Saccharomyces cerevisiae S288C: one gene and its partner. The gene in region 1 interacts genetically with each later gene. Each region holds a gene or a part of one and is shown on either strand. Other genes may lie near its edges.

Evidence for each region.
Region 2: mutations in REX4 (region 1) and HIT1 together harm fitness more than expected from each alone (negative genetic interaction), as found in Saccharomyces cerevisiae (one large-scale study listed by BioGRID).

The regions. Positions count from the first base shown.
Region 1 is NC_001147.6:180,058-188,051, forward strand, and holds REX4 (putative 3'-5' exonuclease), read right to left. Parts: upstream 1,371-7,994; coding exon 501-1,370; downstream 1-500. Other genes in the region: Ras GTPase activating protein IRA2, read left to right, coding at 1-252; AVO1 (Avo1p), read left to right, coding at 1,625-5,155; ATP19 (F1F0 ATP synthase subunit k), read left to right, coding at 5,381-5,587; ribosome biogenesis protein BRX1, read right to left, coding at 5,791-6,666; MDM20 (Mdm20p), read left to right, coding at 6,967-7,994. UniProt on the Saccharomyces cerevisiae protein: Exoribonuclease involved in ribosome biosynthesis. Involved in the processing of ITS1, the internal transcribed spacer localized between the 18S and 5.8S rRNAs.
Region 2 is NC_001142.9:535,034-540,772, reverse strand, and holds HIT1 (Hit1p), read right to left. Parts: upstream 2,002-5,739; coding exon 1,507-2,001; downstream 1-1,506. Other genes in the region: KCH1 (Kch1p), read right to left, coding at 3,224-4,717; BFA1 (Bfa1p), read right to left, coding at 5,022-5,739.

The DNA.
Region 1 (7,994 bases):
TCGGATTGTGTTCCACTTGCTTTCGATATTTTAAACTTATTAGTGACGCATTCAGAGTCTAATTCGTTAGAAAAACTTCACGAAGAATCCATTGAACGTCTAACCAAAAGAGGTTTATCGATTGTGACTTCTTCTGGTATATTTGCGAAGAACTCCGACATGATGATACCTTTAGATGTAAAACCTGAAGATATCTATGAACGTAAGAGAATAATGACAATGATTTTATCAAGGATGTCATGTTCTGCTTAGAGGTGTTACATAAACTAATGAAAGAAATATCAATATCTATCTGTAAGCATGAATGTACATATCTCATGTTAGGGTTTTCTTATCGCTAATTTTTCGCAATTTGTTACGTGGGTTGCTTTTATACAGCTACAATTTTTATATATTCTATCGTGTAATGAATGGCTCAGTAAATTCAAGCGCCACATAGACTAATGTACATACCAATGCATTTTAATTGTAAGAATAAAAGGGGCCATTCATCTACCGTCTTAGTTGAAAGTGTTTCTGTGAATTTTTTCAAATTCCGTTTTTTCCTTTTTATATAATAGCATGGTGGCACGAGCATCTTCGACTGAAGAATGCTCACCTTCTTGAATGGAAATTTTTAAAACCTCCCTGGTTAATTTCTTTAAGCTGGGTGTTTTACCCTTAGCATACAACTTCCTGAATGGGAGGTGTCTTGAAGTGTCCCTGAGTAGTGACTTTGGGTGGGATAACATCAATGCTTCGAGATCATGCTTTAAAGCGTGCCCTACAAGAATTCTACCTTCCAGAATATCCGCAGTCTTTTTTTGAGCTTCTTTGAATGTAATGGCATTTTTCATATGCTCTGGTTTAATACCACTAACCCAAGTTCTCCATTCTACAACTTTCTCTCTTGGCTTAACAAATTCATCGAGGACGACATGTCCAAAATAATTTACGATTGATATTCTAGCTAACGCAGACTCTTTACCCTCGGGACCAACGCCTACAAATTCACAATCCATGGCGATGTATTTCCCAATTTCTTTACTCTTATTACTATTAATACGAGTATCTTCCGAAATACCCACTTTTACTGGCTCTTTAATAGTAGTACTAGTATTTGCTTTATTTGGGTTGAATTCAAACACTTTTCCCTCGAGCTTGTCTTTCTCATGCTTACTAATCTCCTTGTTCATGTTATATACCATGTCCATAATTTTACTGCCGTTTTTGCGCTTTCGAGGGGCATATTGGGTTGTACTACTGACATTTACTGTTTTGCTAACTTTCTTAACGTTTCTGATTTTCCTATTTGATTGCTTATTCTTTCCATTGGAGGTAGGATTGCTTTCGGAGGCTAATAGTGCCTGCCAGTTTGAAGAGAGAGCCATTAAAACTGTACGCTATCTACTTTATTAAATCTGTAAACGTCTATGAAGCCTCTAGAACCAGGCTTTAAATGGATTGTGGTTGCGATGAGGTTAGTTTAACTTTTGAAATTTTTCTTTTTTTTAGCCGACCTTACATATCAGCCCGCGTCAAAAAATATACGGTATAATAATTCTCAATAGATACAGGCTACTGAACAGGAAAACTAAATAAAACAGTGTTTGTAAAACCCCCACCACACCATAATAAGACGATAATGGACACGGTGACGGTATTAAATGAACTGCGGGCTCAGTTTCTACGAGTGTGTCCGGAGAAAGATCAAATGAAAAGAATAATAAAACCGTACATACCCGTAGATGAATTCAACACAGAGCAGTGCTTAGATTCTTCTATCCGTGAATTATATATGAACTCAGACGGCGTAAGCTTGTTACCTGAACTAGAGTCTCCACCGGTATCTAAGGATTTTATGGAAAACTATGCTTCATTAGGGAAAATGAGGATAATGAGGGAGAATGAAGGCCAAAAAGGAAAGGCTAACCAGAATTTAATAGGAGCAGAGAAGACTGAAAGAGACGAGGAAGAAACACGAAATTTGCAAGATAAAAGTGCAAAAAATACTCTGATAGTTGAAGAAAATGGAACACTTCGTTATAATCCACTTAATTCATCTGCGTCGAACTCTCTTTTAAATGATGACGACCATACCAGTGGAAAACATCACAAAACTTCCTCAAAGGAAGACTCATATTTAAATAGTTCGATGGAAATGCAGAAGAAATCTAGTAAGAGATCGTCGCTTCCTTTCGTGAGGATATTCAAAAGTCGAAGGGACCACTCAAATACTTCTGGAAATAAAAATGTCATGAATACAACTAATACAAGAGCAAAATCATCTACTTTGCATCCACCTGGTGCTCGCCATAATAAGAAAGGCAGTAAATTCGATATGAACTTCGATTTCGATGAAAACTTAGAAGAAGAAGATGATGACGACGACGATGACGAAGAAGGTGACGATATACACTCTCAATTTTTTCAGTTAGATGATGATTTTGATGCTAAGGGTTCTGGAGCAAGTCCAGCCCACAAAGGCATCAACGGCATGTCCAACAATAAAAACAACACCTACACAAATAACAGAAACAGCATCAGCATTCTTGATGATCGAGAGAGTTCAAATGGCAATATAGGAAGTGCTTCAAGGTTAAAATCTCATTTCCCCACAAGTCAAAAGGGGAAAATTTTTTTAACTGACAATAAAAATGATGGACAAAAATCTGATTCACTGAATGCCAATAAAGGTATACATGGAGATGGAAGCAGCGCCAGCGGTAACGGATCGGTGAGTAGGGACGGTTTGACGGAAACGGAAAGCAACAATATTTCCGATATGGAATCTTATATCAATGAAAAAGATTTAGATGATTTGAATTTTGATACAGTGACCTCAAACATAAACAAAACAGTATCTGATTTGGGAGGACATGAATCTACAAATGATGGAACGGCGGTCATGAACAGGGATTCAAAAGACAGCCGCAGTAATAGCAATGAATTCAATGCACAAAATCGTGACCGAATCACTCCTGGCTCATCATATGGGAAGTCCCTTTTAGGATCTGAATATTCCGAAGAACGTTATTCTAATAACGACTCGTCAACCATGGAGAGCGGTGAAATGTCTCTTGATTCAGACATGCAAACTAATACTATACCCTCTCATTCCATACCAATGTCTATGCAAAAATATGGCATCTATCATGGCGATGATGACTCTACCTTAAACAATGTCTTCGATAAAGCCGTACTGACTATGAATTCATCGCGACACCCAAAAGAAAGGCGCGATACTGTTATATCAGGAAAGGAGCCAACATCCTTAACCAGTTCTAATAGAAAATTTTCTGTTAGCTCGAATTTAACTTCAACAAGGTCTCCTCTTTTACGAGGACATGGAAGAACTTCATCGACGGCCAGTAGTGAACACATGAAAGCCCCAAAGGTTTCTGACAGTGTATTGCATAGGGCAAGGAAGAGCACGTTGACGTTAAAGCAGGACCATTCTCAACCTAGTGTTCCATCAAGTGTCCATAAAAGCTCGAAAGAGGGGAACATCCTTATTGAGAAAACCACCGATTATCTAGTGTCGAAACCGAAGGCCTCACAGTTATCGAATATGTTCAACAAAAAGAAAAAGAGAACAAATACTAATTCTGTAGATGTGTTAGAATATTTTTCATTTGTTTGCGGAGATAAAGTACCAAATTATGAATCAATGGGTCTCGAAATATACATTCAAGCTTCCAAAAAATATAAAAGAAATTCCTTCACTACCAAAGTCCGAAAATCGTCTACCATCTTCGAAGTTATTGGATTTGCTTTATTTTTGTATTCTACTGAGAAAAAACCGGACAATTTTGAAGAAGATGGATTGACAGTTGAAGACATTTCTAATCCTAATAACTTCTCTTTGAAAATTGTCGATGAAGACGGTGAACCTTTTGAGGATAACTTTGGTAAACTAGATAGAAAAAGCACTATTCAATCAATTTCGGACAGCGAAGTTGTTTTATGTAAGGTTGATGATGCCGAGAAGTCTCAAAATGAAATTGAAACACCTTTACCATTTGAAACTGGTGGGGGCCTAATGGATGCTTCTACTTTGGATGCTAACAGCAGTCACGATACAACTGACGGAACCATCAACCAACTAAGTTTCTACAAACCTATTATAGGTAATGAAGACGACATCGATAAGACAAACGGTTCGAAAATCATTGATGTAACAGTATATTTGTATCCTAACGTGAATCCCAAATTTAACTATACTACCATAAGTGTTTTAGTGACCTCACATATAAACGATATTTTGGTAAAATATTGCAAAATGAAAAATATGGATCCTAATGAATATGCATTAAAAGTTCTAGGAAAGAACTATATACTGGACTTGAATGATACGGTATTAAGGCTCGATGGTATTAATAAGGTGGAACTCATCTCTAAAAAAGATGCAAGGGAGTTGCATTTGGAAAAAATGAAACCTGACCTAAAGAAGCCCGTTTTGCCAACGATCCAAAGTAATGATCTAACTCCGTTAACTTTGGAGCCTCTGAACTCTTATCTCAAAGCAGATGCTGGAGGGGCTGTGGCTGCCATTCCTGAAAACACGAAAGTTACATCCAAAGCTAAGAAGATATCCACGAAGTATAAGCTGGGCTTGGCAAAGCAGCATTCGTCATCAAGTGTTGCTAGTGGAAGTGTTTCAACGGCTGGCGGTCTCGCCAATGGAAATGGGTTTTTCAAGAACAAGAATTCATCCAAATCCTCTTTGCATGGGACACTGCAGTTTCATAATATAAACCGTTCTCAGAGTACGATGGAGCACACGCCTGACACTCCAAATGGAGTTGGAGATAACTTCCAAGATCTTTTTACCGGAGCGTATCATAAATATAAGGTATGGAGAAGGCAGCAAATGTCATTTATAAACAAGCATGAAAGAACACTAGCCATTGATGGCGACTACATATACATTGTACCCCCGGAGGGACGTATACATTGGCATGATAATGTAAAGACTAAGTCGTTACACATTAGTCAAGTGGTTCTTGTCAAAAAATCCAAAAGAGTCCCTGAGCATTTCAAAATTTTCGTAAGAAGAGAGGGGCAAGATGATATCAAAAGGTACTACTTTGAAGCAGTTTCAGGTCAAGAGTGTACTGAGATCGTGACGCGATTACAAAACTTATTAAGCGCTTATAGAATGAATCATAAATAAGTAAAACCCATTATACTGCATCTTACCAGCATTAATTTTGGTTTATATCTAAATATGGTATAGAAAATACTTCATCGCGATCTCGATGGTGATTGGTCAGAGTCCGCTTCTCGATGCAAAGGGAAAAAAAAGAGCTTTTTAGGAGCAAGTCCCCCCATAGAGCACATAACTCGTTAGCATTGAATAAGGCCAGGTGACTTCAAATAATAATTTATAACTACGACAATGGGTGCTGCTTATCATTTCATGGGGAAAGCTATCCCTCCACACCAACTAGCCATTGGGACATTAGGACTGCTAGGTTTATTGGTTGTTCCAAATCCTTTTAAAAGCGCAAAGCCAAAAACAGTCGACATCAAAACAGACAACAAAGACGAGGAAAAATTCATTGAAAACTACTTAAAGAAACATTCGGAAAAGCAAGATGCGTAAATATAGCTTGATTGCTGCGCGGTTGAAGATCTTTTGTACATACAATAAATATTCTTTATATATACAGCTTTCGATATTCAAGATTTAAACATTAAATTATTAAAAAGAGGTCTATAACTAGACAGTTGCTACATCCACTCTTTTCTTGTTATATCTTTTTAATATACAATGTTATGTAAAACTCTCTGATAGTATTATGCTTATTATTTAAACAAGGCATCGTTTGATAAAGGATCGGCGGCAAGAACATTCTCTCTTCTCTTAATTTTTCTTTCCACAGCAGCTTCAGCTCTAGACTTTGCCTCCTCAGCAGCTTGTTGTTTAATTTGAGCTCTTACGACGTTTGGCGAAACATATTGTTTATTTTCATAGATCTTTGGACCACCAAATGAACCTTCTAGGATCAAAATGACAGTCATAACAAACCTAGGGCCAATTTCCACTAATGATATGTCTTCTTCGCCATCTTCATATTCTTCTTTGTTCTTAGTACTGTGTGAGATCTCATATGTCCTCACCCATATTTTATCATCTACAATACTGAAGGACATGACGTGATCAATAAATGGCTTAGATTTTCTAGCATTTGGTGGTACACCAAAATTATGCACTAGCAACTCCTTAATTAATTGGTAGTGTGGGGAGGATTCGAAACGTTGATCAAACGACAATACCGGACGAGAACCCTTTAAACAGTTACCTGTAAAATTCAACTCATCCATAGTATGCAAGTTTTGAATGTAAAATTTTATAGTTGGCCCATTTGGCGGCTTGGATAACCATAGATACAAATCTTGGTGTTTTCTGGCCTCAAAGAATAGAACATTATTACAATTGTACAACTCAGCGATTTCGTTCAACTGTTGAAGATCCTTTTTAGTATCCAATTTTGGCTCCTTTCTGGAATGAGGCAATAATCCGCTTAAGTCTTGAATTAAATGACGATGTCTATAGTTAACACCTCTACTCGAAATCAGAAGAGTTCTTTGCTTGTTCATAAATTGCTTGACATTGCCTTGCTTCTTTTCAGATTTATTATCTTTGCTCTTTCCTGCGAGGGCTTTGTAGATAGAAGACATCTTTGGTTGAACTCTTTCAACACCTGACGAATGTATAAAGAAAGACGTGAAGCAAAATAAGGCTAAGTAACCTTCTAACTCGTAAATATTATAGCAATTTCTGTATCTTTTTAGGTGATAGATTCTTTGAGAACCATCGCGATGAGCATCTAAAATTTTTCAGTCACCTTTAACGAAAATCACTGTCCACGGACCGCCGAGGGCTTTAGGAAAATAAATAATAAATGTCAGCTGCAACAGAATTCATTGGCGAAGCAACGATACATAACGAGCTCGGTACAGCAATCATCGCATCGAAGCATGTCCGACAAGATACAGGAGGAGATATTAGGACTAGTAAGCAGGTCCAACTTCAAACAATGCTATGCAAAACTGGGGCAATTGCAAAAACAATTTCCCAATGCGTTGTACTTCAAGATTTTGGAAACCTATGTTAAATTCAAGCAGTCACCTGGTAAGTTCGATTACAATAAACTGCTAGAAGAACCATATGGGCTGAAAGGGACAACGATTACGGGCGACACGCGTTCCTTGGAGTTTTTGCACAACTTCTTCGTAGAGTTAGGGAAATACGACGAAGCATTGCACGTGTATGAAAGAGGAAATTTCAAATTCCCTAGCTACGAATTGTCTTATCACTGGTTTATGAAAGCATTGGAAGATTCCAATTATAACCAAATGAGCAAAGCATCTCTACAGCTAGCTAAATACAGTGACAGTGGAAACCTGCCTAAAAGAGCATATTATTTTTGGAATGCAATCTCGATTTTAGCCGTATCAAGGTTTCAGGAAAACACTCTTTCAGATCCCAAGAAAATTTTGCTCTCCAGGCTAGCGCGCCAGTCTTTGTTAGACTTGAAACCATTTCAAAATGTTCAAGAGATTATAGTTTATTGTTTGGTGTTGGATGAACTATTCCCTCAATCTAGAGAAATCTCGGAAGAGATTGTTGCGATTACCTTTGCCAATTTTGATACTTCAGTAAACTTGTATTTGAAAAACTTTATCTTGAAGCATACCAAGTTATTGAATTCTCCACAAAAACTTTTTGAAGTTTGTTCAAAACTTATTGAAAAGGGCCTTGATGATTATGAATTGATCACAAACTTGATTGATGCTGCCTACAAACTTTCTAAATCTAAAGACGAAGTCAAACAATGGATTGATGAAAATTTGGGAGACTCAAGGAATACTCGATTGGCGCGCTTGAAACTTGATATAATGTACACCGATTCGGTTTCGGAATCATCTTTGTCGTACTATTTATCAAAGTACCATAACAAACCTTGTTGTTCAATCGATTTGAATCATTACAGCGGCCACATTAA
Region 2 (5,739 bases), on another chromosome or scaffold:
TCCAACACAAGCATAACTTTTACTATTGTTTCTCTACGTTAAGCAGGAGTAGATAACTCCCCCTACTGCGGTAAGAGCAATACTGATTTACGCTTGGTTTATTTAATTCAAAAATCTGTCCCTTTTTTGTGTATATGTTATTAGATATTACTAAATGTAAAAATTTACGCTGCAATGATACATAATGCCATGCGAAGTTGTGAAAAAATAAACACGTATTGCTCTGAAAAAACTAACTAAATATGTTGATATTAAGTTTATAGTAGGCGAAAAAGAAGTCATAAGAGAGGAACAGATCTCTAAGCATACCAAAAATTACTTCCAGTTAGGAGAGCGTGGTGTTCTCATCCTACTAAAAAGATGTTTCGTGATTCTCCTAGTAGCTTCACATTACTATAATGAAAGCCGAGAAAACAGAAATACCTGCAGCCAGTGTTCGAAAATCGCAATTGACGCTAGCTCTACAGCGCATTTTACCCTAGAATGATCTGTCTCATTTCCAATATCTTCAGCGGCAAGCCGTTACCTATTTTCGTTCATCGATGCTACCAGCAGAACATCGGTATGTCAACTATTACCCAATACATTCCTTCATAATGGCGGACTTGATAAAGAAGAAAATTAAATGCCCAGACTTCTTTGGAGTACTGTGACGAATGATATCGCTTGTAGAAAGTAAGTCAGTAAAGCTATCCAGTCCGAAAGCTGAGCTAAAAAGTCACGTATGTAGTGCTAATACGATAAAAATGAGTGGGAAGAAATATTTGGTATGAATGTGAAGTGGGCAAACTTGCACACTAAATCACTGCATAGTCTATTTCCCGCACTTGACAAATTATAATGATATTTGCATATATTTTATTTATTGAAATTAATATCAAAAATTTCATCCACAACAACAAGTTGCGAGGTAGTTAGCGAAAAACTGAGGATAAAGTGTACCAAATGTTGCTCCAAATCATCCTCTCCTTCAAAATACCTTTTTAGGAGTGGCGCGGGTTTCTCTTACAATATCGAGGTTCGATTTCCCTAAAAGAAAGAATCTACTGATAATATAGAGGTTCTTATGGGGCAGTAGATGACTTCAAATTAAATAATGGGACCTGATTTGTTGCCTTGTTATACTTATTGCTATATATATGTATATATGTACAGTCGCCAAGTTGGACTTCAAGTTAAAAAGAAGACCAAAACGGCCATGAAGATCATAAGATGATGGTGGAACTTTCCCTAATCATATGTAAATACATGGTTCACTTTTATTATAAGGTGTCACAAACTTGCAATAGAAGCGCCTCACACAAAAATTCTGACATAATATCATTATTTTCCAAGTCTGCTTGACGCCTTGCCAGACAAGTGGGAAATCCTTAACGAGAAGAAAAAACCTAAAAGCAACCCGACCCTTTCAACAAGTACTTTGTTATTAGTCCTCACCTTCACTATTATATGGTTAAAAATGAATAAAATGCTCAATCTTAAAAATCATGCTAACAACGATAATTCTTATTTCTTCACCGCATTTAATTTATCTAATAAAATCTGGCAAAATTCCTCAATTGCTTCATTATAATGTATACCACCATATCGTAATGTATTCAAATAATTTACAGCTAGTTCTTTTTGTAGATCGCTGTTCATTTTTCCAGAACTTCCATCGTTAACAGTACTGGACAAAATTCTATAAACCTTTGCCAAATGGAACTTCACCGTGTTGTATTTCAACAGCTCTTGCAATTCTGCGCTATTTTGATATATATCATCGAATGCCTTCGTCTTTAATGTTTTATTCATTGCGAGTGAACTGTTTATGATCTTATCGTTATTAACAACTTCCACATTAGCTTCTGTACCAGCCCTGGGTTGTTCGCTTTCCTTATGAACATGCTTTGCAGCATCTTTATAGCATTTCAAGGAGCAATATCGTACGCCACATTTAGGACATTTATATTTACCATCAACTCCGCGACATATGCCACATTTAACTGCACTAGATACCATTTTTATTCTTAGAGTTTTTTATATAATATGAACCTTCAACTAGTTATTACCACTGTGGCACTCTTTCTGCGGTAAGATTATCTCATCGCAAGGTAATATCGTCTGAATTTTTTCTATAAAGAAACGAAAAAAAAAAAATAATCAACGTTCCGTACGGGACTCGAACCCGCAGTCTTCTCCTTAGGAGGGAGACGCGTTACCATTACGCCAACGGAACCAACTTGGTTGAACTCTAAGAAATATGAGGTACCTAAGTTGCATAGTAATATTATTACGAAGCACTTCAAATTGAATGAATAAACTTCGTGCAGAAAACTTACACGATGGAAATCAATATTGTAGAGAATGTGGATTTTGATGTAATTGTTGGGATTCCATTTTTAATAAGGCAATAATATTAGGTATGTAGATATACTAGAAGTTCTCCTCGAGGATTTAGGAATCCATAAAAGGGAATCTGCAATTCTACACAATTCTATAAATATTATTATCATCATTTTATATGTTAATATTCATTGATCCTATTACATTATCAATCCTTGCGTTTCAGCTTCCACTAATTTAGATGACTATTTCTCATCATTTGCGTCATCTTCTAACACCGTATATGATAATATACTAGTAACGTAAATACTAGTTAGTAGATGATAGTTGATTTTTATTCCAACAAATATCCGCCTCATTTTCTACTTTCGCTTAAGCTGCTGTAATGAACCCCTAAGGTAGTACTCATTTAGTAGTATTCATGTTACTAGTATATTATCACATACTGTGTATGAAGATGACATAATATTGAGAAACAAATATCAAATCTATTGGAAGCTGAAATGCAAGGATTGATAAAATAATAGGATAATATGACAAAATATCAAAGAAGGAATAAAAAAAAGATGTTATTATGTTGAACTAGTGACACCCTTTTGTGGATTCCTACATACCCAGAGAGAACTCCTAGTATATTCTGTATACCTAATATTAAGTCTTTACCAACAATGGAATCTCAGCAACTATAAAAAATTAACCTATCTCTTACAAGCAAATGTTAAAAGGGGTTTTCAAAGAAACTTTCATGGCTGTTATGTTTGTGCTATAACCGGTATCAATCCAATATATGAAAATAGTGTTACAAAAAAAGTATTATTTTTATCAGAAACATACTAACGGCTGTTTCTAATCACGTCTATCTAATTCATGAAATATGCAAAGGGCTTTTGCCAGCCTATTAAGTATAATTATATGTACGATCTTCATCTTCCAGCAAACCCTTCCTCGGAAGATCAGGCTCCCTGAAGTACGCTTTCATTGGTGTATAAATCCTTCCATTATCATTCGAGTCAGCTTTTGAATTAATCGAACTTTTTGTCTGTAAAGGAGGTGGTCTAGGTCTACTACTGTTGCTATTAAAATTACGGATGTTGTTTGTTGTATTTGGCATAGAATCTAATGGCCCGTGAAACTCCATAGAAGTTGTAGATTTTAATTGTCCAGCAGAGTGTATTTTGTTGAAAATGTCAGAAGAAGACAAATCCTCATATTTTGGAGTATTTACGCTTCTGCTTTGTATTTTTGCTTTCTTTATATCATTACTTTCATAGCTGTTGATATATGGTGAATCTAGAATCGCAGAGAATCTAGTGGTATATTGTGGATTGCCATTGTCAACGAACGATTCCATTGTTTCCGTTTTCTTCATTGTGGGAATGGGCCCACATACATCCTGACTTTTGTATTCGGGTCTTCTCTCTATTAGCTCAATCATAGAATCATTATTAGAAGCATATGACGTATCATTAAAAGATGTTTCAATTTTATTTTCAACTTCTTTAAAATCGTCAAAAGTCTGAGATTCGAGAAGACCTGTCTTATAAATCGTGTCATCATTTTCCTTTTTCCTTTGTCTTTCAACAAGTTCATCAACATTTTCGCTGACGGTAACACAAATGTACTCACGCAACCCGCTATATTCCTGATCATTGATTATTTTATAATAAACAAAAATCGAGCAAATGACAGCAAGCAGAAACTTGAAGACAAATAATGCCCAGATTATAAAGGAAAATAGCATCAGCGACAATATCACTGCTTCTTCATGATTGGTCTGGCCAATGTTCTTTATTTTGTTGATCAAACCGGTAAATGATTCCAGATCGCCTAGATCCTCGTTTTTATTTACTGTTACGAGAACTGACCACAGCGTAAGACCATTAATAACTTGCCTTGGGGTATCCGTGAAGATTAATCTAATACAATCTTTCAGTTGAAAAAAAGTAAAAAATGTCATTTTCTGTCGAAAACCCTTTCGTTCGATCATATTATAAACACAAAACTTGGAATAATTGAGCACTGAATTTAGGTTTCTGGAAAAATTGTTGACATAAGTCAAAGAGATATTTCCCGTTTTGTAAATCCTCATTCCCGCTATAGCCTCCCATATCAATAGCACAATCGATGCTAAAATACAACCGCTAAACAACCATTTGGATATTTTAAAGGGTAAGTATGGTTTGATGATGTTGTTTGACCAGGAGTTGAATGCCAGCAATTTGATACATGTGTAAATGTCAGAAACAAAAAGGGCGAGTTTTAATCCATTCCACCCAACTACACCTATTATGTAATTTAAAACAGTTTTGAACTTGTGGTTTCGAAATAATTCAATGTTTAAATCGGCGAAAGTCTTAGAATTAATGGAGTACTTCCAATCATGGTTAAACATTTTTGATTTTCTGTTCCTGCTAGTCAAATATTCATGAAATTACCAAAGTGTTTGCTAAACAAACCATAAAGATCTGTTTTAATAATCATCAAGGGCTCTTTTGTTTGAAATGTTAATGTGTCCCTCATGGTCTATTTTCATTTGAAACATCTATTCGAATTTTCTGCAACATTTCTTTTTCTGTCAGACGCGAAATGTCGGCGAAAAGTTGACACGATTCAAGGTTCTATCTAATTTTGGAATGTAAGAGAAATGAATGTACTCAAGATAACGGTAAAGAAACAGTTATAAGAAGGCTAAAGGGCTAATCTTTTGTCGAATTGATTACCATGTTCCTGATTTCATACATATAGGATTTTCTCTTGCTATTGACCGTACTTTCATCCATGATTGTTTCCTCATCAACACTGATAATGGTCTCATCTCGGGGTATAAACCATGAGGCTAACTTTTTACACCACCTGTTCTCCTCGTGGTAAAATTTTTCCAATGCTCTTGAACTCAAATGGAAAGTAGAGCTTATTTCTGGAGTTTCTGTTGTACCGTTAAGTGTCCTCATTGAATGGTATTTACGGAGTCTTGCTTGAGCAGCCGTACTTTGATAAACGCCATCATTGTCATTTGAAACAAATGGCGTATTAACTTGGCTTTTGGAACGCAAAAATGGTGAGGAGCTACGTTTTTTCATACTTTTGCCAACTGGTGGTAAGTTTATCTCAGGAATGCCTGCAAAAGGGTCTGCTTCTTCCTCTGAAACACTAACCCATCTTAAATTTTGTTCATCTAAAATCATGTTCCCGATGACCTTTTGATTTCTCGAAGTGGCTCTTGCATGCTGTAGATCAGAATATTTTTGCTTCTTAGAATCTGCATCTCGTTGTAGCTTGTTTTTTATCAATAAAGCTTTCCTGTTTGCCGTGTCTACATCACTAAATTTGCTTAAGACGTTTTCATTTCCTTCCCACTTCATAGTTTTCGGGTTATATATCATAGAACCTTTCTTCATTGGAGTATTATGATCA